Elephas maximus indicus: one gene and its partners. The protein of the gene in region 2 interacts with the protein of the main gene of each other region in a biochemical or structural test. Links are inferred from orthologs where the notes say so. Each region holds a gene or a part of one and is shown on either strand. Other genes may lie near its edges.

Region 1 (10,072 bases), on a different chromosome or scaffold from region 2:
CTAAGAAAGGAGACAGGAAAGAATTGTTAGTGACGGTTGCCTCTGCGGAATGGGATTATAAGCAATTTCTTTTTCCTTCTCAAACTTTTCTAAACTTTCAAATTTTTTTTTTTTTAACAGTGATCAGATATTATTTTTTCAGTCAGTGGGGAGGGGGTTGTAGCCCAACCTCCTCCTCGTCCCCAAATAAGCAGCTTGTTGATGGCCTAGTCCCCCCTCCCAGCTCCCACCCCCGCTCTGGGAAACCAGAGACTCAAGAATCCGCTGTCTTCATAGTGAGGAAAGAAATGGGGACAGAGAGACATGGGATGTGTTAACCCGCACACAGGTGACAGAAAGCTGAGCTTCCTGCCCAAGGGCCCCCAAAGGCTCAGATGCCAGAAGGCTGAGCAAAGGGAAATGGTCAGAGAGCTTTCTTTTCAGGCCTGGCCAAGGAAGTTGCTGGAAAATGAGGCAGTCCACGTCCATCCACAGACCTCCACTAGAGTCAGCCAAGTCCCGGGAGAGAAGCCTCACGGTGTCACTTGTAGGGACACAAATTCTAGTGACCTGGCCAGCCACACCACTCTTTTCTCTTTACAGGGGTCACTGGCCCAGCCTGGCCATGGACACCTGCCCCTCTCCCTGCCATGCCCCTCTTCTCCCAAAAGACATAACACTAAGAGTTTCCCCAGGGACCCAAGCAGACCTCAGACTCAGCCACAGGTGTGATTCCTGCCAGCCCTCCCCCAGCTCACACAGAGGGGGCCCTGCTTCATCCCCTTCAGAGAAGAGTCAACCCCAAGCCTCCATCTCTCCCTCTCACTCTTCTTCAACTCGAGATCTTGTCTCTAACAGACAGGAAGTCCTTCTTCCTGTCTAGCTTTCATTCCTTCTAGAAAAGCATCTATCCCAGTGGCTCTTGTGTCCTCAGTGGTGATAAGCTTATCACCCTTTTAACAGCAATCAGCCAGGACCGAGTTCATTCTTTCCCTCTCTGTCATGACATACCCCTCAACCTTCTCTTCTCTGATATCAGTTACCCCCATGCCTGGAGTCCCTTCCTGACCTCAAGGGATCTGAAAGCCCAATGGTGATAGGCGCAGCACCCAGGCTGCCACACTGCATATAGGATTTCCCCCACCCTGTTTCCCAGGCCCGTTCCGGTGCCCAGTTGGCAGAGGTGCCAGGACCAGGCAGGTCTAAGAACAGTCTGACACCAGCTACTTCCTGAAGAACCAAAGCTCTGGCTGACAGACAGCACCCATGACCCCCCACTCCCATCATCAGAAAGGCCTGTACCCCCCAGCCCTCAGGTCTCCCAGGCTCCAAAGCAGAGGACAGCCAGCTTCCCCTGAAGAGCAGCCTGGCAGCCCCCTGTGGCACAGTCCAGCAGGACATTAGCCCAGGCCTAAATCTGCTCTCACTTCTTTCCACACCACAGGGAGTAGGCACTCCCACTTTACTTTGGCTCAGCCCCAGCCCCCAGCAAAGCAGGCAACTCCCACTTCCTACACACAGTTAAGCCTAAAACAGCCCAGGGTTCTGCCCAATTGGAAAGCAGGAGGCGGCAGCAGCTTTGACCCCTGCCCCCTGCCAAGCCCTACACCTCCACCACAATCCCTGGTCCTGGAATATAGCCCCTCTCCACCAGGAACTAAAAACCAAGGCACAGGGGCAGTTTCAGAAGGCTGGAGGCGGGGACATGAGTCACCCCCACCTGATAAATCTGCTTCCACCTTCACCACCCCCACACACCTTTCTGGGCGTTTCTGAATTCTCCAATCTCCCAAGTAGAGGCTCTGAAAAATGAGCAACAGGAAAATTCTCCCTGGAGCTCCACTGGGGTGATATGGTAGGATCAACTCTGGGCTTGGAGCCAGAGGACCCCAATACCAGTCCCAGCCCTGCTTGGGTCTTCTGTGCAACCTTGGGCCAGTTCCTTAACTTCCCTGAGTTTCAGTTTCCTCATCTGTAGAATGGGGATAACGATACCTGCCTCTAAGGATCACGGGAAGTATTCAGTGAGAACGGTTCATGAGAGCATTTTGTATCTAGTATCTGCATAGTCTTCCCTTGTTCTTAAAGCTACCATTTATCAAGCACGTACTGGGTGGTGCTCTTGTTAGCTGCCATCTAGTCGGCCCCTGACTCATGGCAACCCCGGGGATTGGACCACTACGACCCATGGAGTTTTCATTGGCTGATTTTTGGAAATAAATCACCAGGCCTTTCCTCCTAGTCTGTCTTAGTCTGGAAGTGCTGCTGAAACCTGTTCAACATCATAGCAACACACAAGCCTCCACTGACAGATGGGGAGTGGCTGTGCATGAGAAGCACTGGCCAGGACAAGAACCCTGGTTTCCCACATGAAAGGCAAGAATCCTACCACTCATCCACCACTGCCCTCACTTACTGGGTCCGTAGTTATTATTGTCCCATTTTACCCAGGAGGTCACTGAGGCTCAGAGAGATGAAGTGATTGACCAAAGCCACATAGGTACTGAGTGACAAAGGTGGCATTCAAACCCAGCTCAGTCCAACCCAAATCCCTGTGCCCAGAGTTGCCCCGCTATAATGCCACTCCAAAAAACAGCCCTTCTGTACACTAGTCAGTTGTCCCAGCTCATTCCAAGTGGGATCCTCTCCCTAGTCCCTCCCAGGCCCTGTAGAGGCATCCCCTCTCCCCACACCTGTACTCCCCTCCAGGGGTCTCCAGGAAGAAAAACAGGCTCCAGGGCCCAGCCTGACCTTCATTCCTACATGCTGCTTTCTCAAAGCTTCAGTCCTGGCAGCCCTACCAGAGGTTCCAGGGGGGATGGGGTGGGGCTGGGGTGCGGGGTGGAGGTGGGGCTGGAGAGGGCTCAGGTCACCCAAGCTGGGGCTTGATCTAGCAAGAAATGACTAATCTGATCCTACCTTATTTATTCCTCTTCCCTCCTCTATTATCCCCCTCCCCTCCTCTATTATCCCCCTCCCCTCCAGTAAGCAGCCGGTTTTCATGAGGCGCCTCTCAGCGATGCTTCCTCAGTATTAACTTTTTATCACAGCCACAAACCAGATTAGCTAAACTAATTATTTAGCCTCGGTAGTTACAACACCTTCCCCTTCTCCACCTTGGCACTGAGAGGAGGGTAAACAACTTATTTGGGCCCAAACTCCATGCCCCTGTGGCTCCCCAGAGGTGCAGACCCCACGAACAGAGAAGTCCTGGGGTTACCTCTCCAGCCTCCTGCTCAGCCCAGGGCACCCTACCTACCAGGGCATCCCATGGTGGGGGCAGCTGGGTTCCCAGGTCTGACTCCCCTCCTTCCCTAACTCTCCCATCCATAGCCATGAAAGAAGGGGTCCCCAGTGAGTCAGGGCAAGCCAAGTGATGTTCCCGCCACCCACCCCTGCTCCCCAGGACGGAGGGACAGCCTGGCTCTTCTGTTCCCTCTGTGTCCCCCAGGGAAGCTGGGCTCCAAATTCCTCCAAAAAAGACCACACCTTAGATTTTTGAAAAGATATTGTTGAAAGCCTGGTAGAGATCTTTAACTTGGGCCAGAGGAGAGGGGCTCTCAGGAAATGAGGGGGGCAGGGAGGGCCTAGTGAAGCTCTGCAGCTCTACCTAAGCGAAGCCTTCCTCGTAGCCCACTTTACCCATCAAAATCTCTCAGGAAAGGGAGGTGGTGGGGAAAGGACTGCACAAGCTTCCACAAAGAGTGCACCTTCATAATTCAGAAGTCAAATGGAAAGCAAGCCTCCCAGCTCCAAGGTCTTCGGCCTCAATTACCAGCCAGCTAAACAGCGTGGGCGTTGGGGTATAGAAAGAAAATGAGAACAGTCACTCCCCCCACCCCGTCAGTTTGGCCCAGTCCCACCGCACCCCCATTCCTAAGTGGTGGTGGGGGAAGCAGAGCTTGGGAGGGAGGGCTACTAGCCCAGGCCTCCTCATCGGAGGGGGTGTGGTGGTCCCCCAGGAGGCAGGAAAAGAAGGAAGAAGCTGCTTCCCCTCTGGCCCACACCCCCCATCGGCCCCCACCTCAGGCCCCAGGGGCCCAGCAAACAGGATGGGGGGCTGGGCAGGGAGGACAGGCTGGGCCAGCCTGGGGCCAGCTGGGGAAAGGGGCTTTCTGCCCCACAAGAAGGTCCCTCTAAGTCTGGGGGACACTCTGGTCAAAGAGGCAGGAAAGCCCCCAGAGAAATCTTCCTTCTGGAATACTTCCTCCTGGAAAGTTTGCTTTGGGTGATTTTTCCAAAAATAAGAGGTTAGAGAGGAAGAGTAGCCCTGTTCCCATATGAACACTCTGGGAGCCAAAGCTATTGGAAACTGGGCCAGGTGACCCCTCCGCCCTGAAACCTCTACCCACGCAGAGACCCGCTCCGCCAAGATCCTGATCGAGCAACGGGGGGCAGAAACCAGCTGGGCACTGAGCAGGGCCCTGCATCAGCCTCATTGTTGCCCCATCCCACCTCCGCTGGGGGATCCACAGCCCGGCACCCACCCGAGCGAAGGGAGGCGCCCCAGGTACACTGCCGACCAGGCTCGCAGAGAGGGAGGGTTGGGCCTCTGGCCTCGGTGCGCTCACCTGCTCGGCAGGTGGGGGCCGCGTCTCTGTGAAACTGTGCGCTTGGCCCCCACAGTTGGGCAAGCCGGTCGCAGACAATAGGGCCCCACCCAGGCCTGGGGGAGTAGGGAGGGAGGGAAAGCGAGGATGACGCGTGGGGTGGGGTAGGGGTGGCCCCAAAGAGTCCAGCGGCAGCAAGTTTCCCAAACCGTAAATTCCTGACAGCTGAGTGCGCCCTGGGACGCAGGCGGAACAGGTCAAAGTCTTCCCCAAAAGCTCAGGGCGAGAGTCAGGGGCCGGGCGTCGGGCGGGCTTCTCCGACCCGAGGAAGACACGACTCTGGAAGCACCTGCCCTGATCCCTCCCGGACCTTCTTTGATCTCCAGATCCCGAAACCCCCAACAGCGCCGGGCCGGAATCTCGCGCTCCGTTAGTCTCCACGCCCAGGACCCCAGCGCGCCCCCTGCCGCCGGTGCAGGGTGGCGCCCCCTACACCCGCCCTCACCTGCCCCGAGACTGCTGGGACCTTCTGGCCCCTCGCCGCCCCTTCCCTCGCCCCAGCGATCCCTGCCCCTGATCGTCCGCACCTGCGTGTGAGCCTAGCCGGGCCGGGTCTGGGTCGGGCCGGGGTCGGGGCCGGCGCGGGCAGCGAACTGAGGTCGGCGCGCTCGGGCGGCGGCTGCACCGGACTCTGGCCAAGGCAGCAACTCAGTAACCGAACAAAAGGCGAAGGGACCTGACAGCCAAGCCACGCCTCTCGCCCCCTCGAAGCTCCGCCCCCTAGAGAGACTCCCACCAGCTGAAGCAAGCTCACTGGTTAATTCGCATGACTGTCCCATCAACGGGCGGAGCCTCGCTCTCAGGCCCCCACCACGGCCGCCTCTGTTTATCGACTTGCCATTGGCCCCAGGGACTGCCAGTCGCCTCTGGGGACGGACTCCAACTTGAGATGCCATCCTAGCTCCGCACCTATTGGCTGAAAGGGGCTTACTTCTTCTTGTTTGGGCAAGGGACTGTCAGTAAGAATAAGGAAAGAACCAATGGGAGGGATGGGGTGTGTCTTGCCCCACCCTGGCTCTGAGCAGGTAAGACTCATGACTCTCCCTTCCCCCTACCTGTCCAACAGGTGAGTCACAGGGCGCCATGGGAAGGGACAGACGTCTTCACTGGCCTGCTAACTCAGCGTCAGGCATGAAGCTTCTTTGGGCTTATTCATCTTTGCCCCAAAGTAGTAAAAACATACTTTTATAGCATTTCATACAGCATTTTGCTGGGCTGGAATTTTTTTTTCCCCCTAAAGATGAAATGAATGCTCATGGAATTTAGAGTTAGTACGCCTGGGTTTGAGTTCTGCCACTTAGTGACTATATGATCTTAGACAAGTTACTTCACCTTTCGCCTGTTTCTCCTCATCTGTAAAGTGGGTACATTAATTATAACTATCTCATTAGGGTGTGTGGGGAATAAATAAAGTAAGGTTTGTGAAAGGACTTGGATAACTGCTAAATGTTAGAATTTAAATTCATGTTACGGGTTTTTTAATTCTCACAATTCTGGAAAATTGCTAGGACAACAAAACTATCCTCATTTTAAAGAGGAGAAAACTGAGGTCCAGAAAGGACACAAAATTAGAAAGTGGCACATCCTAAAGCTAGAACTGTTCTAATTACAAGGCCCACCAAATCACAGGTTCACCTGGTGGAATAAAATATCAAAGCAATGAAGAAAGGGTGGGAAGAGACAAAAACAACACTTGGAGAGACATTGAAGAGCGATTTTTTGAAACAAAGATGAAGTATTGGTGTGTGTTAGATATCTAGTGCTGCTACAACAGAAATACCACAGATGGATGAGTTTGACAAAGAGAAATTTATTCTTTCACAGTCTAGGAGGCTAGAAGTACAAATTCAGGGTGCCAGCTCCAGGGAAAGGCCTTCTCTCTCTGTCCTTGTCATCAATCTTCCCCTGGCCTAAGAGCTTCTTAATGCAGGAACCCCAGGTCCAGAGGACACACTCCCCTCCGGGTTCATCATTCTTGGTGGTAGGAGGTCCCTGCTTGATTTCCTCTTACATCTCAAAAGAAATTGACTCAAGATACAACCTAATCCTGTAGATTGTGTCCTGCCTCATTAACATAGCTTCCTCTAATCCTGCCTCATTAACAACACACCCTAAAATCAAACCAAACCTGTTGCCCTCGAGTTAATTCCAACTCCTAGCGACCCTATAGAACAGAGTAGAACTGCCCCATAGCATTTCCAAGGAGCAACTGGTGGATTTGAACTGCTGATCGAGCTCTTAACCACTATGCCACCAGGGCTTCATTAATATCATAGAGGTTAGGATTTACAACACACAGAATCACATCAGATGACAAAATGGTGGACGATCACACAATACTGGGAATCATGGCCTTGCAAAGTTGACACACATTTTGGGGGGCCACAATTCAATCCGTAACGTGGTGTAAGGAGACTTTGGTGAGTTTGGAAGAAATAAGGCAGCAGATCTAAAGAAAATCTATCACTGGCATAGAAGGCGTGGGCATTGAGCCCCTCACTGGTGGAAGAGCCTGGGTTCTTCGGATAGAACTTCCTGATAGGCAGGTTAAGACCAGGGTCCAGTATTTTATTTTTGTGGTCGATAAAATGAATGCCCGCTGGTAGCTGCACAGTATGTCAAGGATCCTACAGACACTCATTCATTCAGCTTGTGTGTGTGTGTGTGTGTGTGTGTGCATTGTGGTGGGGGGAGGGAAGGGAGAGTGGTTGCTCAGGAAAGGAATCCCGCCCCCCAAAAAACTATAGCTCCAAAGCTAGCACACACAGGATAGGGCCGGGTGAATGTACCCCAGCAGCATCTTTGACCACTTTCCCCACCAGCGAGGGAATTATGGCTAACATTCTCCCTTCTGAAGCTCGTGCCATCCAAGAAGTCTTCCTGGAGGGGGCCAGGGAGACGTCAACATTCCTGAACACATGCCAGGGCCACTGCCCTTTGCCTGGCTTTCTGTACCACCCCGCCCCCCTTCCAGCCGGTCTCAGCATTGTTATCCCTACCTTACCCCCACCCACCCACTTGCTTTCCATCCTGCCACACAGTGCAGTGGCCAGCCCAAGGCTTGGGAGGAAAAGAGCTCAGAGGAAAAGAGCTCAGAATCCTAAGCTGTCACCACTGTGGAAGGATGTCACTTCCTCTCCCTCCCACCTCTCCTGCCCACCCTCCCACCCCTGCACACGTGCGTGTGCGTGCGTGCGTGCGCGCTCACACACACAGTTCCCAAACCCAAGCCTAGCTTAACTCCCTCTTCTTTCTCCTGACTTCAGCATATAAGTGGGGTAGGGCTGGCTGACTATAGAGGGGTGGAGGAGCTTGGGTGGAGTGGAAGGGCAGAAATAAGGCTTCAGGATAAAGTGTGTGTGTGTGTGTGTGTGCGTGTGCGCACCACTGGTGCTCGTGTGTGTCTTCCCAGCAATGTTCCCTGCATGTCTCACCCTGGAACATGCTGCAACACGCTGGCCTCAAAGTTAAGCACACAGACTGGGGCTGGGTGGAAGCACCCACAAGAGCAGCAGGGAAGACTGGGATAAGAGCTGTACCCCCACCCAGATCAGGAAATGTTCTGCACATTTATCAAGCACCTACAATGTGCTTGCCAGACACTGAGGACACAGCAAGTTGTATTGACTAAAATCAGCTGTCTGTATAGGGGTTTTGGTCTCATGGGGGAGGAGATGTGCAGGTAGACAGAAGGGGGTCACTGTGACCACAGTCTCTTCAGGAAGACTGACTGAAGTGAAGGAAAGGCCCCATGGCCATCATATCCACTTCCCTGCCTCCACGGTTTTAAAGGCAGGGATTTCTGTTTTTGACAAATCTCTGGCAAAAGAAGTTCTCCATTCTCCCTTAGTTTTAAATGCCTTTGTCTCCTTATTCGAACAGAGAGAAGTTCCTTCTAACGTCTAGCCTATTTCCTATTCCTGCAGTTTAAACTCATGTCTCTTGCTCGAAGCTCCAGAACTACCAAAAACACATGGTTAACTCAACCTTGCAGCTTTTTGGGGCCTCAGAGTAAAGAATGAAAAGGCACCAAGGTGGCCTATCCCAAGCTGTCCCAGAGACAGAAGTAAATGGCCAAAGGGGTCCAAAGAGGGGCTTTCGGGAGGGAGTGGAACTGGTAGGGGAGGGGGAAGGCGCTTCTCTTGGAGAAGGTGTACAACTGCCAACGTCCGGACAGCCAGGCCACCCCTCCTCAGCTTATCTCATTTCCCCTCACCGTCCAGGAGGCCTCTGGGCCATATAAGGAGGTGGAAGAATGTCTGTTCTCTGTCCAGACACAGCCCTTTCCCTGCAGGGCCCCTTCCCCAGACAGAGGCAGATAGAGATTTAGATCCCACACCCACACACCCACACAGTCCTCCACGCTCAAACCTCAGGGACACACTCATGGACACACACGGATACAGACTCAGATATAGGAACACCAGACACCTCGGTTTTCCCTTCCCACCACACACACACACACACACAAACACACACACACACACACACACACACACACACCCTTCTCCTCTCCTCTTCAGCCTAAGGTGGCCTAAGGGGTGGCCACCTCTATAGAGGGAGGGCAAGGGTGAACAGTGTCAAACTTCAGGCTGATCTAGTGCCAGTAGCCATGGGGTCGACTCTGCCTCATGGCTACCCCACGTATGTCACAGAAGGGCTGTGCTGCATAGGATTTTCAATGGCTGATTTTTCCGAAGTAGATCGTCAGGCCTTTCTGCCGAGGTGCATCTGGGTGAACTGGAACTGCCAGCCTTTCAGTTAGCAGCGGAGTACGTTAAGCATGTGTGTCACCATCACCCAGGGACTCCTCAGGCCGATAGCGGTACTTTTTAATCACACTGGCGCCTCTCCCCTGGCTTTTCAGCAGAAGAAAAGGAGAGCAGACAATTGGAAGTTCTTCCTGGGTTGCAGACATTGCATCAAAGGCAATACAAAAACCTAGAGGCATCTCTCTGCCCAGGGGGAAAGAGGGCTCCTGTCCTGGTCCTGCCTTCAGAAGGCCCCCACTCTGGTCCTGCTGGGGTTGTGCCCCTCCACACAGGGCAAAGGGACAAGCATACAGAGTTCACACCTCTCCCTTCGGGACCACGCCCTGGTACCCAAAACTCAGAATCCTTTGCCCAGCACTGACTTGGCTTTCAGGGCCTGTGGGCCCCTTATTCTGGCTGTTCCTCTGAGAAGGACAGTCGCATCATAGCTGGTATGCGTACACTTAAGCCAGAGAGGTGACAAGGGCTGCAGTTATTCTGGGGCCAGGGAGCAGGACATGCGAGCTGGGCTATCTGCACCCATTATATGTGCTGGAGGCCCTTCCTGTTGTGGGTAGAGCCAGGGGTGGGACAGGAAGGGGAGATGGTCCTGGGGCTCAGGGCTGGGGGCCAGGGAGCAGTTCTCCTGGGGGTTGCCACTTGCGGAGGAGTGTCAGAATTCTAAATTCCACCCTGACCTTTTAGGCCATTGTGGGAGTATACTCATCAAGA
Region 2 (10,867 bases):
GGGTTGACAATGCCTTAATGGGTTGGTTTCTTTTACTTGTTCATTGGTTTATTTACTTAACAGACATGTATTGAATGTTTATTATGTGGATCCAAGCCTAGATTAAGGCTTTTAAAGGGCCTAAGCAGCAAAAATATTATGGCTTAACCCCTACATGAAATGCTAAGTAAGTGTAACACTATACCATAAAAATAAGCATTTGGGCAGTCCAACACAATTATTTCTATGTTTAATGCTTTGATGATTTTTTTTTGGAGTGTGTTGGGGAAGAGAAATATAAAATACCCCCAAATTCAAAATTCCCTTCTGGTGTCTCTGCTTTGTGTGATTAGATGCCTATCGAGAAATCTTGCACTGGCAGAAGTCATTATGTTTGAGAAATTCAAAGGTGAATCAGACACAGAACCTGCCCTCAAATAACTTATAGTCAGGTGATTTAATGAGCAACAGGTAGCCATTAATTTGTGGAGAGGTGGTTTCTCACTCCAACTCAAACCAGTTGTTGCCCAGTTGATTCCAACTCATGGCTAATCTATGTGTTGCAGAGTAAAACTGTACTCCACAAGTTTCTCATTAGACAAGTGTAAACGGCTGCACTCCTTTCTCATAGACTGAGGGAAAGGATGGATCAGCAGCTGATGGTGTTTGACCTGCATCAGTCCATTGAAGGAATTTTCATGCCAAGTGTGACCTGCAAGGGTGGCATGACCCAACACTTTGCTAGGGCCTCCCCTCGGTAGACAGGAGCACAGTAAGCCTATCTGTGATGCTGAGAAGGCTCCCTGCTTCTGCAATAGGCGATGCTCTGTTAGGACAGGGGGGTACTCAGCGGCAATGGCCTTAAGCATGTATCATGCAGAAAGAGCTATCAGCAATTAAGTGCTCTAGGTATAGACAAGAGTGTCACTTTTCTATTTTCACAAGTCTCATTGAACAGGTGAATCTTGTCCTCAGGGTCAGGCCGTTTGTTTACCAGGTCAGAATTTCCTGCTCCTTTAGATACTTCCAATGCCTCACTAAAATAGGGATGACAAAATATTTTTACTCTGTGGTAACTCAGACCAACTGATAGTGGCTTCCTGAAGTGCAGTTGTTGAAGAGGATTCTGAGGCCTCCTCTGGGCTCAACAGGGAGAGTGTTTTGATCTATCAGGAAAGTTGATACCAGAGGCAGGGCCATTCTTGACCAAAATGCTTTTTGACTTAGGTTTGATAACTGTCTCATTCCTGTTTGAACCATACAGAATGCTCTCATCATGTATTTGTTACATAAATTAAAGTAGTGATTTTTATAGAGGTCAAAGATTTCTTTGTGGTGATGAGAAATTTGCAGTGATGATATGCTTGTGTTTTTTTTTTTTTTTTTTTTGAAAAGGTGAAAGAAGATGCTGATCCTAAATTTGGAGCGAAATAATAAAGCATCTAAGAATACTGTATAGATGGAAATTAGTATGCTTAAAGGCAATTTATAAGTTTCACTTACTAGGCATACTGCTTCCATTTTCTATGAAATATTTTATTGAAAAGCTAATTTCTATAATGTATATCACTATAAAACATGTACAATAAGGCATAAATTTTGAGTTAGAAAAGATGGTGAAAGAGTTCTCTCTTTTGCTTCTCTTCTGTTTGGTCTGTACTAATTTGTTAGCCTTTCTCTTGCTCTAGGCATCAGTGAACACAAGTATGGGAATTTAAGATGTCTGATTCAAAGGAATTGATGGGCTGTATAATAATTTTTTTTCTTCTGTGTATTTTAATATGAGTGCTGAGAGATACTCCTGCTTGTATCTTAGAGAACTGCAGCTAAGTTCGAATTACAGTTAGTTTATCAGGGGGCCAGAGGGTTTTCTGAAAGGAAATATTAATCCGTGGAAAGTGGAGAAGATAGGCTAGTATGACAAACTGAAGAAATCAGATCATTCTTGGTAATAGATGAAAAATATTGTTTTCTTGTTCTTTGAACTTAAACTGCAGAAGTTTGTCTTTATAGAGAAAGAGACCTTGAGATCTGAATTGATTTGAATTGGACCTGGCAAATGTGTACGTCATTTTCAGAAAACATTAGAACCACAGAAATTCTACTAGTTCTATTTTGCTTTCCGCAATGACCATGCCAGACCTTTTAGTATAGTCATAACCATTCATACAGATTTCTTATATTTGGTGCATAAGGTAAGATTGCTCTCTAGCTTAGAGAAAATACATTCTAATCTCTACTCCCATATCCCCTCCCCCCAAGTACAATCATTTCACAGAAGCAGTAAAGGAAGAAAAATAATTGCAAAACCAATAAAATTTATTTGGCTTGCTGTGTTATAGCAGGTGTAAGCTATTGCCTGTCTGAATAATGAGTCATGTGGCAATCTTTGTCACTATAACAGAAGCTCCTCCAGCTTACTTCTCCCTGATCCAGCCCACTAACTTTAACAAGGTCTAAAACCTTCAGAAATATTGAGCAGACTATACAATATGCTTGTAAACAGATAGTAGCAGCTCTCAAATGGATTTTCTTTAAAGTTTAATGTCTTAAAATTTAGATGTCTTAAAGGTTTTAATAATTGACCAAATACACTTCCTAACAAGGGTTTTCATTGATCAACTTTTAGCACTTTACACATATTTTATAAAAGCAAGCATTTATAGTGAGGTTAACAATGGTAATGGAAGAGTTTGTACAGTAGTGGTTGTCTTTTGCCAGGGCTGGGGGTGGGGGAGAGGGAGAGGGGAAGTATTTTTAAAGCAAAAGACAGATTCGATAACTTCAAACAGCAATTACCAAAATCATCTGGTAAAATCAGTAGTAAAAATAAATTGTGGTTTGTTAATAAACCTCAGAAAATGAAATGTTTTACAAAAAAGTTATGATGCCCATGTGAAAATGAAAAATTTTCATTCATAATAGAATAAGTTCTTTGAGAAATCATTCTCATAAGGGGTATGAGAAGCTTGTGATTGATTTCAAGTAAAACATGGCAAAACAAAAAACTATCCAGGCTCAGGAAATATGAACATCCAGAAAACTCTCTCCAAAGAGAGAAAGTTTAATAAGAATACATGCTTCTGATAAAAGGATACATTTTACTGAAGAGTGACTAATTAGGAAGTGGCTAGTAAAAGGAAATTTACAGGATGTCATTAGTGAGAAATAATCATATAAATCAAGAAATAAGGCCTATCTTACAAATTCAATGAAAGTTAGTACATATTGAACAAACTATAATCAATCGAATCTACAGTAGGCCTAAATGGATCAAATGTATATGAAATTGAAGGTAAAAGCATTTGATTATTAGTGCACAAATGCTCATATATACAAATGGCATACTGTATAATGCACGTTGATTCCTGCGATGTTCTGAGTTATGATATCAACTTATCCTAAAGATCCATTGAAGAGTAAATGGAATAGGAAAGTTTGAGGGACAGCTAAAGTTACCAGCTTATTGATGCTCATTTATAACTAAATTGACCGATTATGACCCCTCTCAATTAAGGAACTGAATTTAAACTAACCACTGTACCTTGAATAAAAGAGCTAACTTGTTGTTATACAAACCCAACATTCCAGTTCAAAAATTAAGCAAGTAGAAACAAATATGAACCACGGCACTGCCTCTGCCAAGTTGGAGAGTGATTTACCTGGCATCTGCCTTTTTGGATTACATTAACCTTACTGTGAGAGAGATGGCTCTTTTAATATTTTCATCGTAAGTAAAACTGATGTAATACACGGGTGTTGCATTTAGTATCAGCTCTAAAAGGAGAAAGGTAATAATGTGGTAAGGGGGGCAGTGGCAAGACTTTTCATTACATTTGACCATCAAATGCACGATTTTATGTCAGTTATTCCTTACTTTCAGTTCGGTAGCAAGAACAAGTATAATAATAATTACACTTACTCCTTAATTATAGCCATTCCTTCACCTACTATGTCATTTATACATCTCTTATACCACTATTTTTTTTAATTAAAAAATCTTGTTTTAAATAAAATCAGTTTAGCAGCGTGGTGGTTTTGGTATTAGCCTTGTGGATCCTAACCACATATAGAACTGAAATTGTTTGGATAATAACAACAGTCACAAACTGCTATGATTTTAATTTATATGGATCCTATTTTTGTGTTTTAAAAATTATCGTGAATTTTCCCTCAAAGATACTAAAGGAATAGAAAAATGTTTAACTTAAGATTCAGGACATGCCTGTAATATATAGCTTAAAAGCCTACCTGCAAAAGAGAATTTGAACAACAAAGTGCTACTAAGTACTGATATGGATTTCCTATCCAATATTTTCCCAGCATGACTTAGCACGGACTTCAGTCTCAGAGATGCGATAGGATGAGTTGACATTGATGCATTAATATGATCTAGAGTCTTCAATTAAAGAGGGAAGCACTAGGTAAAGATCTAGTTCATAAAATCACCTTGTCATTAACATGAACTTTTAATGAGTTTAGGTGAGAAGTAACATTAAATAACATTTTCTAAAAAGTTCTCACTCATTTTCAATGAGAATAATTCTGAAGGATTTTTGACAGAGTCCACTTACCAGAAAAATGAACAGCACAGCAGCTGTTCTGAAGAAGTGCCAGTCCATCGCTGCTGGGTTCTTTTACATCCGAGACCAAGGAGTTTTGTTTGTTCTTCTCTGTTCCTTTGCTTTCCCCCACTCAGCTGGTGTCTGATTAAAATGATTTCTCAGTAGATGTTCTTACATGCAGGCTTTGAGGTGTTTCTGCCTTCCTCTGGGAGAAGGACTGGCGGGACGTATAACCAGTCTGGATCCCCACCCTAAAAACTTGGGCTGGTCTCACTGAAATGCTTGACAAGATCATCATTGCTCCCAGGTAAAAGCTCTGGGACACACCCTTCTTCCAGCCGAAACGCAGCTCTCTATGGGCCAGCGAAGAGTCATTCCTCTGAACGTTTTCACTAGCAGGCATTTCAATCGATCAAAAGGATAAAGAGTTGTACAATTATTAGGGGCTTTTCACCCTGTGATTTATTTACTGGTCATTTTGCTTCTTCCCATATTAAAAGACAAGTGCAGTGTGGGTGCTTATATTATTGAAAAGGGATTATTTGGTCCATGGTCATAGCCAAACCCTCAGGTCACAGTAGAAAGATTCAGTTATTTTCTAACTAGTCTAAGGTGTAGAAAATTTGCTAATTTTGAGAGTGGGATTTTTTTTTTTTGGATTTATTCAAACAAGGGAAATTATGATACTTGCATTAATAAGGTTGTTTCCATAAATCAAGTTCTCTTTAAGTGACCAGCCTCAACCCAGCAAAGCCTCCACTTTCTCTGTGAAGGAATATTTTCTCCTTACAATTATTTTTCTTTTAAAGATTCTGCTCTTTTCAAATGCAGTAAAACAAAACTTAAAATATCACTAAGCTAAATTAAAAGTAAACAAAATCACCAATTAAAATCCTGTTTATAATTTTTGAGACAAGGTTCAGTGCCTGAAATACTAATGGAAACATGGAAAGCTGCTCTTCAGGTGAGGTGGGTTAAAAGCCAATGACTATAGCCATATCCAGAGCCAAGAACCGGGATAGTGAGCCAATTAGAACATGGGGAAAACACTGAAGAAATGGCTGCCCACATATGCAAATAGGAAATTAAATGCAGCTCTGGGCTTTGTGAAAATAGTGACCTTCATGAGGCAGTGTTTGAACATGTTCTTGGAATATTTTCTTCTCACCTGTCAATGTCTCGAAATATTGTAGGTAGAAGAAAGCCTGCAGATACTGTGTGCCTTCAGAGTTTGAAGTGGCAGTCTCGAACAGGAGACAGATCTAATAAGATGCTGATCACGGTCAAAGGGCTGTTAAAAATGCCTCAGAGAGGAAGGGTATCTCTGAGGGACAGAAGTTCTCCAGAGTGCCATTATTTCACTACAAATGTGTGGCAAAAAATATTACTCAACAGCTGTTTGAAATTTCATGCCAACCATTATGGAGCATGGAGGGAGGGAGATAGGCTGCCTATTTTTACTTGCAGTGAGTAAGAATGTTTAAGATAAAATTGGTTGATATGAATAAATAAAATGCAAGGAGATGCTCAGGTCAAATTTCTCATTAGTCAGATATGATAGAATGTGAGTGTCAACCTATGACTTAGTCTGAGCAATGTATTAGAAAGACTCACTGGGCACCAGAGAGGAAAAGATCAATACTCGCAGCTTTCCAGTGGCAAGGAACTGTTTTATCCACCTTGGATTCTGGGCATTGTGCTAAGGTGTACACAAGTCCTCTTCATCCATGTAATGACTCTTCTCCAAGCCTAACTCTAACTCCACCCCTAACTGAATGTCCTGCACCAACAATCCCAACCAGCTAGAGCATTCCTAAAGCAACAACTTCACCAGCAACTTTCCAGGGAGGAGGTGTGGCAGAATCCCGATGTGGCAGAGCAGAGGTGTCCTGACAGCCAAATGTGGTTAAAAAAAAATGTGGTTAGTGGCTACCAAACTGAACAGCGCACAATGAGCAAATGTTCTTTATGTGCGCTGTTCAGTATGGTAGCCACTAACCACATGTGGCTACTGAGCATTTTTTTGTTTTGTTTTGTTTTAATAATTTTTATTGTGCTTTAAGTGAAAGTTTACAAGTCAAGTCGGTCTCTCACACGAAAACCCATATACATCTTGCTACACACTCCCAATTACTCTCTCCCTAATGAGACAGCACGTTCTCTCCTTCCACCCTCTCTTTTCGTGTCCATTTCGCCAGCTTCTAATCCCCTCCACCCTCTCATCTCCCCTCCAGGCAGGAGATGCCAACATAGTCTGAAGTGTCCACCTGATCCAAGAAGGTCACGCCTCACCAGCATCCCTCTCCAACACATTGTCCAGTCCAATCCATATCTGAAGAGTTGGCTTCGGGAATGGTTCCTGTCCTGGGCCAACAGAAGGTCTGGGGGTCATGACCAACCGGGGTCCTTCTAGTCTCAGTGAGACTATTAAGTCTGGTCTTATGAGAATTTGGGGTCTGGATCCCACTGCTCTCCTGTTCCCTCAGGGGTTCTCTGTTGTGTTCCCTGTCAGGGCAGTCATGGGTTGTAGCCGGGCACCATCTAGTTCTTCTGGTCTCAGGATGATGTAGTCTCTGGTTCACGTGACCCTTTCTGTTTCTTGGGCTGGTAATCGCCTTGTGTCTTTGGTGTTCTTCATTCTCCTTTGATCCAGGTGGGTTGAGACCAATTGATGCATCTTAGATGGCTGCTTGCTCAGTACAACTGGACTAAACCAAAAGCGAAGAAGTTTCCTGAATAAACTGAATGCTTCGAAGGCCAGCGTAGCAGGGGCAGGGGAGGGGACCATGGTTTCAGGGGACACCTAAGTTAATTGGCATAATAAAATCTATTAAGAAAACATTCTGCATCCCACTTTGGAGAGTGATGTCTGGGGTCTTAAACGCTAGCTACTGAGCATTTGGAATGTAGTTAATATGATTGAAAAACTGAATTTTTATTTTGTTTTAGTGAATGTAAATTTATATAACCATGTGTGGTTGGTGGCTACCATACTGGACAGTGTAAAGGGCTTAGAGCATCATTGCTTTTATTATCTTTTCTCTTACTCCAAGCCTTAACTCTTTGCTTTCTGTTAAATTCAAACCTCTTTATTAAATCCACACTATTTTTTTTCCTTAACAGAGAGAACTATATCTCTGCTCCAGTTTCCAATCAGCACCTTTTAATTCCTTTCCCTTTATGGGCTCCTTTATCTCTATGGAAACCCTGGTGGCTAGTGGTTAAGTGCTACAGCTGCTAACCAAAAAGTTGGCAGTTCAAATCCACCAGGCACTCCTTGGAAACTCTATGGGGCAGTTCTACTCTGTCCTGCAGGGTCACTGTGAGTCGGAATCAACTTGATGCCAACAGGTTTGTTTTTGTTTATTATCTCCATTGGTTCACTCCCTTTTCCCGGCTCCTTACTGATCCTATTTCCTATTCTGATTAGTCAAGACACTGTAAAATATACACAACACAAACCCCTCTGATTTCCAAATTCACATTCCTCAATTCTTTTTTCCAGTCCCCTCATCTGTAATGCCACATCACACTGTCACCTAACTAAATACCCCATCTCACTGAATGCAATTTCTACTCTGAGCATTGTTTAGTATGTGTATCTTCACAAACATACCAGTAGTTTTCATTTCATGGAAATTTTATAAAATTTGAGTGATTTTCTGTCCGTGGAATTTCCCTGGCAAACTGACAGTGCTTTCCACAGGAATCAGAATTCTCCTGGGAAGAGGACTTTTTCCTCCCTTGTAAGGTGCTGCCAACTCCAAAATATCATTCCAAGTGTCCACATTTCTGTATTTGTTCACAGCTTGGATACTGTAATACCTTCTTGAAAAACGAAATAGCATCTTTAACTAAAGTTGATGGATTCTACTGATGTACAACTTCTTCAGAGCACCAATAGCGTGGGCACACACACTGCAGAGAAACCCTTTAGTTTATGCTTTTATGTTATATGTGAACCTCTAATTTCATAAATATGATAAAATATGCATGTGAAAGCTGGACAATGAATAAGGAAGACCAAAGAAGAATTGATGCCTTTGAATAGTGATGTTGGTAAAAAATATTGACTATACCGTGGACTCCCAAAAGAATGAACAAATATGTCTTGGGAGAAGTACAGCCAGAATGCTCCTTAAAAGCAAGGATGGTGAGACTGCATCTGACGTACTTTGGACATGTTGTCAGGAGGGATCAGTCCCTGGAGAAGGACATCATGCTTGGTAAAGTAGAGGGTGAGCTAAGGAGAGGAAGACCCTCAACAAGACGGACTGACATAGAGGCTGCAACAATGGGCTCAAGGATAACAACGATTGTAAGGATGGCGCAGGACCGGGCAGTGTTTTGTTCTGTTGTGCATAGGGTCACTGTGAGTCAGAACCAATTCAACGGTACCTAACAACAACAATAACAGTTTCATAAATGTCTCTAAATTACCCTGATCAGCTCCACATATTATTTCAAAGAGAAACAATGGATGAAAGATTAAAAACAAACAAATGACAACAAAAACCTTAACAATAGAGGAGAATTTGAGGCAAACAAGTTAATAATAATATGTTGTTGCTGCTGGGTACCATCCAGTTGATTTTGACTCATAGCCACCCCATGTGACAGAGTAGAACTGTCCCATAGAGTTTTCCTGGCTGTAATCTTTACAAAAGCAGATTACAAGGCTTTTCTCCCATGGAACCACTGGATGGGTTCGAACTGCCACCTGTTCAGTTAGCAGCCAAGTGCTTAATCACGTGTGCCACCAGAGCCTCTTTAAGAATAACATAAATGAAAATATTTTGTATTTGGCTTTATATTAATGTATTGATTCTAATATTGTTCACATCGTTTAAAATCAGAGTATTCCTCAAAGTCAATGTTATACACATACATAAAAATGTCTGGGAGAGGGCTTCTGTTTTAGATTAAAAGAATTTTCTTTTAATATATAACAACCAAATATATTAAAACAAAAGACAAAAAACCTATTGCCGTCAAGTCGATTCTCATTCACAGTGACCCTAGAGGACAGAGTAGAAGTGCCCCATAGTTTTGAAGGAGCTCCTGGTGGATTTGAACTGCCGACCCTTTGGTTAGCAGCTGCAGTACTTAACCACTACACCACCAGGGTTTCCACCAAATAATTAAAGTCCTGGTTTAAAAAAAAAAAAAGCCTTTTGGAGATATATCGAGAAATTTAATTAGAGAGCGTTAGAGAATTATTATAAAGTTTATTAGGTTATGCAATAAAATGCTTTTATTTTTGAAGATTTAGGTTAGTTATGCAGTAATATGTTTTCATTTTTAAAGATTCATGTTAAAGTAGTTGGGAGTGAAATCTCACAATGAAAGCAATTTGCTTTATAATAGTTCGGTAATCAAATAGATGAAGTAAACATGGCAAAATGTTAATAATTGTTAAAACTAAATCATGGCTATATGGTGTTCTATTTTTCTGTGTATTTGAAATTTTTAATAATAAAAGTAAAAATAATGCTATAAAGTAGAGCTTGGCAAACTACAGCCCATGAGTCAAATTCAGGTCACTACCTGTTTTTGAAAATAAGGTTTTATTGGAACACAGCCATGCTCATTTGTTTATGTGTTGTCTATGGCTGTTTTCACTCAACTGCAACAGCAGACTTGAGTAGTTGTGACAGATGCTATGTGGCCTGCAGAGCCTTAAATATTTACTATCTGGTGCTTTAGAAACCTTGGTGGCATAGTGGTTAAGAGCTAGGGCTGCTAACCAAAGGGATGGCAGTTCAAATCTACCAGGTGCTGCTTGGAAACTCTATGGGGCAGTACTCTGTCCTATAGGGTCACTATGAGTCAGAATCGACTCGGTGGCATCGGTTTTTTTTTTTTTTTTTCTTTTGCTGCTTTATAGAAAAAGTTTGCAGACCCCTACAAAATATGACTTATTTATAAACTGGTTGATTTTAGGAGATACTGCAAGATTGATCTCAAGGGTTTGAATAGAAATCATGATGACTGAGAGTAACCACCATAAAGCAAATAACCGAGAAAAAGGTGGTCTTCATAATCAAATTATATTTTTAGTTCCATATTTTCAGAAAAATACCTTAACTAACTAGAGTAACCTACTGCATAACCCTCCTGCTTCTCTTTTAAACCAGATCCAAAGAAAACCTTAAACTCATTTTTCTCTACTTAATTCTAGAATAAGAGTGCAACATCATCACATATTTATGTACTTTTCTCTATATTGAAAGAATATTTAGGAAAGGGGAAAATCTCAACTGATTTTGAGAACCATGGGCTCTATCTTAACACTTAAGTGTATTATATGAGGGTTTAGCCTC
Region 3 (10,952 bases), on a different chromosome or scaffold from region 2:
ACATGTGTGTGCGTGTGTGTGGTATATGCATGTGGAGAATTTCACGTCAGGAGAGCTAACATTCTTCCGTTTTACTTTGCTCAAACATCACACACCTTCTGAGCTGTCACATCCCATAGCAGGTGTACTTCCCAGACTTTTAACCTAGAACAACTGGTTTATCTATATTTACAATTTGATGTGCAGGGAGAGGGATTTTTATTAATATTATCTTTTCATTCTCTGCCAATGAGCTTAGCAAAGGAGTAGGACCCAGGGAAACGTCATTTGCCATGAAACACCCCAGGATACTCAGCATTTTTGCATGTGTTTTTTTTTTTTTATAAGAGGCCAACGGAAATTCTGCCTAAAACTCCAATTTCAAGCCAAGATACATTGTAAAGAAAAAAGGACTGGTTCATTTGGAGCCTAATTAGTATGTTTTGCTCCTGGAACAAAGCTAACGCCCAATCTCTCTTTACCATCTCCCATTTTTTTTATCATAGCCTGGTCCAGAGAAAACAAGTCGAGGAGTGATGTTTGCTTGCTCTCTGTGGTCAGGACAGGACAACTTTCAAGAGAGAAGTGTGAACAGAACCTTCACTCAGGGGGAGGTTCCTGCGGAGACATAGCCAAACACAAACACAAAGGAGCCAACTAAGGATAGGGCTTCTGAGCGAGGAGCCTTTGCCTGTGCTCTGCTGAGGAGCCAGCACAAGCCTGCCACGGTGACGAACAGACAAAGGAATGGTGGAAGGGGAGACAGGCACCTCCCCTAGCCTAATGTCATCCCCCAACTCCTGTCTCAGACCAGACAAAAATAGAGGTTTGGCCATTTTAGATGGGAAATGTTACTTCTAAGAAGAAAAGAGAAGCAGGACGGACCCACACTTGTCTAAGTGAATTACCACCCACTACCATCGAGTTGATTCCGACTCACAGCGACCCTATTGGACAGAGTAGAACTGCCCCATAGAGTTTCCAAGGAGCACCTGGTGGATTCCAACTGCCAACCTCTTGGTTAGCAGCCGTAGCACTTAACCACTACGCCACCAGGGTTTCCCTAAGCAAATTAGTGCCACGCAAATTAGTGTTCCGATTTCCCCAGAATAAGACTTCGACAAAGGGAGCCCATTTACTTAAACTGTGTGTGACGTATATTCAAGGTGGTGGCAGGTGGTGTGTGGGATGGGATCCAGTGAGATTTGGGGTAAGCTTTAGGAAGAGACGCCAAAGGAAGTTATAAAGACCCTGATGTGGAGAAGAGTTTCCTTTTGGGCTGGATAACCAGTGTGCCCAGGACTTCCCCCCCGTACAGTGAAGCTCATTATCAACCCTGGAGGGACTTTCCCAGCCTCAGAGGAGTCAAGTTTACCCAGCAAGGATCTTTGTTGAGCAGCCAGGTCTCTCATTTTCCTTGTGCTTCACACATGATCTGGCTTCCCGTGAGAAGAAAAGCACCCCAGGCACCCTGATGTGCACAGAGACCCTCTGAAGCCATGGGAAATAATACTTAGGGGCCAGCTTAAGATGGATAGGCAAGCTCAGAGAAGCCTCTGCCTGCAATGTCCCCAGGTCGCAGAGAGGACCCTCACCCTCCTCCAGGGCTGCCTGACCAGGGCCAGGGGTCTGTTCGATCTACTGTGTTCAGGGAGGGAGAGCATGGGTGGACATGGGCATTTGGTTCTGGGCTTCTCCATGGGGCTCCTTTTTCTAGCCTGTGGTGGTTCAATTCCTCCTCAGTGACCTAACAGAACAAAACTTTGCTGGGGAAGGCTCTGAGAAAAAGTCAGTGCTGTTGCCAGGGGTGGGGTGGCCTGTTCCTGAGGGAACTGCCCTGACTGTTCTTTACAGGGTACAGGAGCAGCAGGCACTCTGAAGGGCAGCCTGTGGGGTGTGGGTGGTCATCTTTAGGGCAAGGGTTCTTAACTAGGTGGGCCCTGGATGGGATTCAGGAGGACCAAAAAGATCAAAGATGCCAGGGATACTGGCCTCTTCACTCTCCAGAGACTAAAGAAGAGTGAGGGTCTGTCCAGGGTACAAGGGGAATAGCCTGGGATATGGTCTTTCCATTAAGAGCTCGGCTGCTAATCAAAAGGTCGGCAGTTGGAATCCACCGGCCACTCCTTGGAAACCCTATGGAGGAATTCTACTCCGTCTTATAGGGTCACAATGAATCAGAATCAGCTTGGTGGCAACAGTGTTTTTTTTTTTTTTTTTTTAACGGTCCTTCCATAGCACCCAACTCACCCCTCTGAGGAACCAGAGGAGGCCCAAGGAATGGAAACCAATATGAGTAAGAGAGAGCAGGGTGAGTAAAGCCAGCCACAGAGCCAAACAGGGAACGCTTGGGTGGTTTTGATGGAGAGGATGGGAAATCTGATGAAAATGAAGCCAGATAAACCAGAAACACCAGCTCCAAGTAGCCGAACGACCTCTTCCAGCTAGGATGCTACTGGGAAAACTGGCCCCCTTTGGGAGCCTCCCCAGAAGCTGAGAGTAGAGGGTACGCGCCTACAGGATAAGTCCTTGGAGAGCCCCATTTCTGGAGAGGTATGCATTGGCCATTGGAGCCAACCCTCACCTGGCTGAAGCCCCTTGGGGGACTCTGGGGTGGAGAAGTAAACAGGGGAACTTAGATGTTACCCACAAACGTGAAGACCAGAAACACAGCACCCCAAAAAGACAGATGTTCAGTCAATATCTGGATGGGTCGGAGTAAGATGGGGTGCTTGGGGCATCTGAAACCAGTGTGAGACTTTTCTGGAACTGTGAGATAGGAGCTCAGGCTAGGGACGGGGTGGGAGGGCAAGGGGACAGGTAAGGCATGTTCAGGGAAGACAGTAGGTTGATTTGACCTGTGCTCTGGGTTATAGCCAGAAATGGGAGCACTTGTTACTCCAAACCTACTTCCAAAAAAGGCTCATAAGCAGCTACCAAGGCACAACAAGAAACGGGAAGGGGCAAATGCTCTGGAGCCGCGTGACCTCGGGTGGAAACTTGGTGTGAGAGCAGCCAGGAGCCTGGGAAGGACAAAGGGCACACACACCGCAGCCTTTTGGTGTCTCTTTGCTGTTTACCACTCCGCTACCACCACCTCTCACAAGCAACTTGCTCAATAAATCAATCTTGGTTGACCTGTGCTACTGAGCCCACATGGGGTGGCACTGAGTCAGAGCTGACTTGACGGCTACTAACAACACCAACATTTTGCAGTCTGCAGAGTCTGTATTGGCATTTTACTAAATTCAGGAGAATGAAATAATAAAAGAACAAAAAATAAATTAAAAAAATAAATAAAAATCACAGATTTACTAATTCGTGTGTGATTGTTACTGGGAATTCTTTGTATTAAGGTATGTGGTCTGAAAAGTCCCCACATGTCAGGGTCTGCACCTTACTCCTCTAGTTTTGGGATCCTTATCCCTTTCTCCCAGCCACCCCCAGTCTGGGGGCTTTGGTACCCACAGAGGCTGCAACCTGGGGGACTGAGGCCCAGCACCCAGACTGGAAAAGCACCCATGAGGATTCTGCGGGGATACTCCCTGGGCCCGGTGGGATCCCCACCCCTGACACCCCCATTCCCTACTCTGCCTAGGACGCTTGTTCCTACTTACTCTGGGTGTGGTAAGGGAAATCAGTGGGAAGGGGGTTTCTGTGTTAGCGACAAGGAAAAGAGGGGATCCCTGTCCATTTTCCTTCGTCAAGGAGCACACTCGCCCCGCGTGACCTTCGGACCAGACTTGCCTCTTCCAGGAGGAGGCTCCCGCGGATGTGCCTTGGAGCATCAGAGGCTTGTCCCAGCTCCCCATCGGCTCCACTTCCCACAGCGCCTCTCCTGAGCCCGCACCCCTGCCTCAGCGACCTCTCGCCACACTCCGCCGCCACGCACTGGCCGCACCAGGACAGGGTCCCGCCTGACTGAGGGCGCAATAGAACGTGAAGCCCAGGAAGGGGCGGGGAAGCAGGCGCACAACTTCAACCACTGCTCCGGCGGGAGACAGGATAGGACACGGGGCTGGTCCCCTTTCTTTACCCGAGCAGCAATCCAGGAAATTAAGTCCTCCGGTCCTCGGAGAACGACCCTGAAGGGGGCCCTCAGCCTCTGGCACTCTGGAGAGCCACCCACTTTGCGCCCAGTGGCGCGCCGCCGAACTCGTGGAGCCGGCGAACGGCTCCTGGCCGCGCTACTGTCTGTCTGCACCGGCGGGGGCTCGGCTGCGCGCACTACCCTGCTCCAGCCGGCAGCCCCTCGGCCACCTGCAGCCCCCCGGGCGCACGCGGCCTGGCCCCCGCGCGCGGGGAGGTGCGCGGGAGGGCCCCCCGGGCCACGCGGTCGCCAGACCTTTACCTCGGTTGGAATGGCTCAGAGTGGACGACTGCGAAGACTTGGACTTCTGCCGCTTGACGGTCATCATCACCTGCTCCTGCACGCGCTGCCTGCCCGACGTGCCGGTCTTCATCTTTTGGTCCGACGGCAAAGCCAGAGTCGAGTTGTCCTGGTCCTGGAAACATTCGTACGCCAAGGCGGTCTTGAGCGGCGAGTGGTTCATGGTGGCGGGAGGCGCGCGCGGGGTGGGCCTGGACGAGCAAAGCGACGCGGGAGGCGCGGCGGGCAGGCGGAGCGTGCTCTTGTGGCTCTCAGCGGCTCCCTACGGCCATAGAATGAGTGGTCCTGGTGAGAGCTCCCGGCAGCTGCTCCTGGCGCCTCCACCCCGGCTCGTCCCTCTGCTGACACTGACGAGGCCCGCCCTCTGTCAGACTGGATATACCACCCCTGCCCTGCACCACCCACTCCACTCGGCCGCGCGCCGCCGCCGCTCAGACGCGGAGCTGCTGGGCCCTGCCGCTGCGGGAGCCAGAGCTCTGGGGGCAGGGCTGCGCGTCCTGCGTGTGGGACGGCCGGTATCTCCCCGCGCTCTTCCTTTATCTCCCTTCCCTGTTCCTTTATCTCCCTTCCCTCTTCCTTTATCTCCCTTCCCTCTCCCCACGGCGCGCAGGAAGCAGCGCAGGCGATGGAGGCCCCAGGGAGACGCCCCTCTGTCCTGTTCCTGCCGGCTCATGGAGAAAATATGTGCTCAACTCAGGAGCCTAAAGAGTTCTCTCCCTCAGCCTTCCCTCCCCCCTTCATGCTGATGTCTTGGCTGAGACCAGCGCTGTCAGAGGGGGCTCCCAAACTGATGGCAGAGGCCAGTCCTTGCTCAGAGGGAGTGCCCAGCCTTATGGAGACAACCCACTCTCCTGTAAGGCAGCCTGCAGTGCGGAGAGCGTGAGATGGGGCCGTGAAGCCCACACCAAGGACCACAGACTTGGGATACAAAACCGCAAAGTTGTACACCTGTCGCGTGTGGGTATGACCAGGAATAACACCTTGCTGGTAGTAGATTGGACACCCTGGTGACGTAGTGGTTAAGTGCTACGGCTGCTAACCAAAAAGTCGGCGGTTCGAATCCACCAGGTGCTCCTTGGAAACTCTGTGGGGCAGTTCAGCTCTGTCCTATAGGGTCGCTATGAGTGGGAATCAACCTGAGGGCAACCGGGTTCCTTTTTTTTTTTTTGGTTTAGCAGTAGATTCTCTCTGAAACTCCATTCTTAGCTCGTATAAAAAAAGGGTTTTGAATGGTTGAATGAAGGAATGCTAGCTAATTCAAGGCAAATTAAGTTTGCCCTGAATCCTACCTAGATCCTTCCTGAAACACTAGAAGGGTGACTTGTCCATAAAACGACTCCACCGTGAGTATCTGATTCCAGGACTGTTGCTGTTCGTTGTTAGTTGCCATTGAATCAATTCTGACTCATGGTGACCCCAGGCGTGCAAATAGAACGCTCCATGGTATTTACAAGATTGTCGTCTTTTGGAAGCAGATCGTCAGGCCTGTCTTCCAGGGTACCCCTGAGTGGGTTCGAACTGCCAACTCTATGACCAGTAGTTGAGCACTTAACCGTGTGCGCCACTACCAAGTTCATTCTCTTATGTGCACAATATCCCTGTGGACACATGCAATGGTGCTTTATTGTTGTAGTCGCCTCCTCCTCAAGCACTGAGATAGCCTACACCAGCAAATTTGGTATTTTTAACAGGAGTTGAGTAGTTTCGAAGCTACTTTAATGGAAATCTTTCTAAAAGATATCATAGCCTGCCTTGCTTCCGTAAGCAAAAGATACTGAACATACTTTACATACTTTTTGGTGGCTCAGGTTCTCACTCTGAACATACGTTATCAGCCGTGGAGTAGTGTAGCCTGGTCAGCTTCTTGTTTTCGGGTCTCCTCCAGCTATGTTATACTATCAGCTTCCTGGTGGTGCAAACAGTTAAGTGCTCAGCTGCTAACTGGAAGGTTGGCAGTTCAAACCCACCTGGCCACTCTGAGGGAGAAAAGACCTGGTGATCTGCTTCCATAAAGATTGCAGCCAAGAAACCCATACGGGGCAGCTCTACTCTGTCACATGGGGTTGCTATGAGTTGGATCTGGCTTGACATCACTCAGTAACAACATCACTTTGGGTATCATATGTAGTTGCCACTCATAGCTCACGTGTCTCATTAGTTTGCCCTGCTAATCTGCAGAGGAAGGGAAAATCAGAAATCTGTGTTCATTAGGAATTATATGTCGAGGAAAAATCAAGAAGACTGCAAGGCCCTAGGGTGATAAGGGACCATATAAGGGGCCTGAGAAGTGGGGGTTACCTTCAGGGAACCTCAGCTTTCCCCACACTGCCTTCCTGGTAGCCCTATGCAGAGTGGATTATTGTAAAGCAGATCTTAGTTTCCAATAGAAACAGTTTTATAATTGAGCAATGTTTTTTCACAAACTCAGCGTCAAATAAACCAGAGATGTGACCAACAACAGGTCATATATACAAAGGTTCAGCACCTCTAAGCCTCTGTCATCACTTGACATTTTAAGATTCTGCTTCCAGCCATGGAGTGTCCGGGCTGGACAGAGCCTTGGACATCATCCGGCTCAGCCTCTGCGTTTACTGCTGAGGAGAGGAGGTGCCTGGCCCACAGCCACCCAGTTAATACGTGGTACAGCCTCAATTCTAACCAGGTCTGGCGACTCTTAGTCCAGTGCTCTTCCTACCACACTATCTGACCTCCCTTGTAAAAGTCCTATAAAGTGGGCATTAAAGTAGAGTGCACACCAATTATGTAAGGGCTTCAATGCATGGTAAAGTACACATGACGGCCCATAAAAACTCAACTCTATTATATCACATTTGGCCTATCTAAAACCTAATATGCTAGCTGTAATAATTGTTAATTAAGTCTTTAAATAACGATGATTTTGCGACCTTGTAGGAAGTACAAGGTGCCCTGGTGGCGTAGTGGTTAAGAGCTCAGCTGCTGACCAAAATGTCGACAGTTTGAATCCACCAGCCACTCCTTGGAAACCCTATGGAGCGGTTCTACTCTGTCCCATAGGGTCGCTATGAGTTGGAATTGACTCGACAGCAATAGGTTTGGTTTGGTTTAGGATGTAGAAGAGCCCTAAAAGAGGTGATTGGAGTAGCCCATATTGCTCTAAAAGGCAAACCCAAGGAAGCAGAAACTGATTCTCTTCAAAATTGTTTCCAGGTATGAAGTTCAGTTGTCCTAGCAGCTTCTCTATTATTTTGATACTGATATTATTTGGAAGACCAAAGAAGAATTGATGCCTTGCAATTATGGTGTTGACAAAGAATATTGAATATACCATGGGCTGCTAGAAGAATGTATAAATCTGCCTTCGAAGTACAGCCAGAATGCTCCTTAGAAGCAAGGATGACGAGACGTAGTCTCATGTACTTAGGACATGTTATCAGGATGGACCAGTCCCTGTAGAAGGACATCATGCTTAGTAAAGTAGAGGATCAGCGAAAAAGAGGAAAAACCTCAGTGAGATGGATTGACACAGTGGCTGCAACAGTGAGCTTAAACATAACAATGATTGTAAGAATGACACAGCACTGGGCAGTGTTTTGTTCTCTTGTATATAGGGTCGCTATGAGCCGGAACTGACTCAATGGCACCTAACCACATTATTTATATTGATAACAATAGCCAGCATTTCCTGTGCTCTTTCAATGTGCCAGGCGTGGTTCTGGGCCCTTTACATGGACCATCTCGTTCAATCCCTCAGAATGACCCTATGAGGTAGGTACTGTCTCCATCATCTCTCTTTTTCAGATAAGAAAACTGAGGCACAGTGAGGTCACCCAGCTGGTAAGAGGCAGAACCAGGGCCAAGCACAAGCAGCCTGGCTCCAGAGCCTGGGACCTTAATGGCGATGTCAGCCTATCTCCTCGGGGATTTCCCTGTGGCAAGCAGTGGGCCCCAAACCATTCCATGGATCAATCTTTTAAAAGCACCCATTTCCATCACGCGGCATGAAAGGCACACCAGCAGGGCTTCTGTTCCAATTAGGTTGCTAACTAACTTCATGATCCTAAACAAGTCCCTTCCCTGGGCCCCCTGCACAAATCTGTAAAGTAAGGGGGTAGACTCGAGGATTCCAAAGTCCACTGGAGCGCCGTTGCTGTTGTTAGTTACCACTGAGTCAATTCCAATTTACAGCTACCGTGTACAACATAAGGGAACATTACCTGATCCTGTGCCATCTTCATGATCACGGGTATGTTTGAGTTCATTGTCGCGGCTATCGTGTAGCACCTTCTAACCCAGGAGGTTCATCTTCCAGCACTATAGCAGACAATATTCTTGTGATCCATAAGGTTTTCACTATCTGCTTTCAGAAGTAGATGTCCAGAGCTGTCTTCCTATTCTGTCTTAGACTGGAAGCACCGCTGAAACCTCCCCACCATGGATGACCCTGCTGACATTTAAAATACCAGTGGCATAGCTTCCAGTATCACAGCAACACACAGGCCACCAAGATAGGACAAACTGACAGACAGGTGGAGACCCTAGTCCTGATACTCTGTGATTCTGATGTCAATTGTGGGGATTTGTAGAGCAGGGGAATCTTGAATCAGGTTCTCTGGACAATATTTCCCCCCTCCCCCCACCCTTGTCCTCCCTACTCCCAACCTCAAAGGAAAGGAAGTCTGGGACTGGACAGAGGGGGCGCCGACCACCTGTTGAGCCATTGCTGTGCATGACATTCATTATTTGATCTCATCCTCCCCTTAACAACTCAACGAGGTATTATCCCCATTCCACAGGTGAGGAAACACACTCAGAAAGGTTACATCAGTGGTGAAGCCTAGATTTGAACCATCGCCTGACTTCCGACCTGGGAGGAGGAGAACGGGCAGTCACATCTCTTTTGTGTGTGTGTGTGTGTGTGTGTGTGCTTTAAGTGAAAGTTTACAGTTCAAGTCAGCTTCTCATATAAAATCTTATACATACATTGTTAGGTGACCCTAGCTGCTCTCCCTACAATGTGGCAGCACACTCCTTCTCTCCACCCTGTATTTCCCGTGTCCATTCAACCAGCTGCTATCCCCCTCTGCCTTCTCATCTCACCTCCAGATAGGAGCTGCCCGCATAGTCTCATGTGTCTACTTGAGCTAAGAAGCATATTCTTCACCAGTATCGTTTTATGTCTTATAGTCCAGTCTAATCTTTGTCTGAAGCGCTGGCTTCGGGAATGGCTTTAGTTTTCGGCTAACAGAAAGTCTGGGGGCCATGACCTCTGGAGTCCCTCCAGTCTCAGTCAGACCATTAAGTCTGGTCTTCTTACTAGAATCTGAGCTCTGCATCCCACTTTTCTCCTGACCTATCAGGAACTCTCTGTTGTGTTCCCTGTCAGGGCGGTCATTGGTGGTAGGCGGGTACTATCTAGTTCTTCCGGTCTTAGGTTGATGGAGTCTTTAGCTTATGTGGCCCTTTCTGACATCTCATGTTTTCGACCAAAGTGAGGGAGGTATAGTCAAGCTGCAAGGATTGCAATGGGGGCTCAAGTGTGTGGTTTTCAACCAGGAGGCCAGAGCTGTTTCCTTCACCTCTCTTTTGCCTGCCTGAGCCCACCCCATGTGGGGCCTTGCCTCAGCAACAGGCCAGAGAAGAGGGCAATACTCATAAAGTCCAAGATAGAGGTCAACTAGGCATGTCGCATGAGCTGAGCTCTGAAATGGCATGCTTTCAGGAGACCGTCAGGACCCGTATTTAAGATGGTGAAAAAATTCTACCGAGTACAGGCTGATTTCAGTTTGCAGGTTGTGGGGCTGCTCTGGGGAAGGCTTCCTGAAAGAAGTTCACTGGACTTTAGGTTTGAAACAAGATGAGTAAATGTTCATCCTCAGAGTCATTGTGATGAATGAATATGAATGAGCTTCTAACTCTCTTTGCTGTCTTCCCTACAGCACTGTGTGACCCGGATTCCAATTCTCAATCAAGGCTCCTCATCTTTATGAACATAGAAAACCCGGTGACAGCAATGTTCACTACAGAATGGGACATGGACTCATTCATTCGACAAGCATTTATTGAGCATCTAAAACAGACTCTGTTTTAGGCACTGAGGGCACAACGGTGAAGAAGATGAAGTTTCTGCCCTTATAGAGCTCCCCTTTTGGAGATGAGTGGAGAAGGGGGAGGCTGCGCAGCCCAGGTAAAGGCTGAGAGGCCTCCTGGTGCTCCTGCAGCCTCTGAGAATGACTGGGCTAAACCTTCACCTTGCTCCGTTTCCAATTCCCCAGGTGAGGGGTCACCTCTACCTTTGCCCCAAACTCCCACAAACAACCCCAAGGAACTAGGGACAGGGGAAGAAGTCACTCCCCCACTAGGATGGCCCCACCGTATTCAGCCCAGTCCCTCTGCAACAGACCCTGGTTACAGGCCCCTTTGGACAGCCTGGACAGCTGCCACGGGCCCAGCTCCCCACTGTTAAGTCTTTTGTAGCTGAGTTCCTTTGGTCAGATGGTGGACTCAATCGCTGCCTATCTTAGGAACCTTATAAGCTTCCCTGATGAGGCATGCTACCCCTTCCCCAGTTTCTAAATACAACAAACCACAACCATTTGCCACT

Evidence for each region.
Region 1: the proteins of DSG1 (region 2) and JUP form a complex in vitro, tested with the Homo sapiens proteins (2 studies listed by BioGRID and IntAct). The link is inferred for Elephas maximus indicus from reciprocal best matches to the Homo sapiens genes DSG1 and JUP.
Region 3: the proteins of DSG1 (region 2) and PKP1 form a complex in vitro, tested with the Homo sapiens proteins (2 studies listed by BioGRID and IntAct). The link is inferred for Elephas maximus indicus from reciprocal best matches to the Homo sapiens genes DSG1 and PKP1.

Annotation. Positions count from the first base shown.
Region 1 is NC_064837.1:48,804,879-48,814,950, forward strand, and holds the start of JUP (junction plakoglobin), read right to left. Parts: upstream 5,258-10,072; 5' UTR 5,117-5,257; intron 4,938-5,116; exon of another isoform or gene 4,739-4,937; intron 3,762-4,738; exon of another isoform or gene 3,690-3,761; intron 1-3,689. UniProt on the Homo sapiens protein: Common junctional plaque protein. The membrane-associated plaques are architectural elements in an important strategic position to influence the arrangement and function of both the cytoskeleton and the cells within the tissue.
Region 2 is NC_064829.1:38,711,462-38,722,328, reverse strand, and holds the start of DSG1 (desmoglein-1), read right to left. Parts: upstream 4,602-10,867; coding exon 4,554-4,601; intron 1-4,553. UniProt on the Homo sapiens protein: Component of intercellular desmosome junctions. Involved in the interaction of plaque proteins and intermediate filaments mediating cell-cell adhesion.
Region 3 is NC_064836.1:9,781,570-9,792,521, reverse strand, and holds the start of PKP1 (plakophilin-1), read right to left. Parts: upstream 4,870-10,952; 5' UTR 4,533-4,869; coding exon 4,331-4,532; intron 1-4,330. UniProt on the Homo sapiens protein: A component of desmosome cell-cell junctions which are required for positive regulation of cellular adhesion.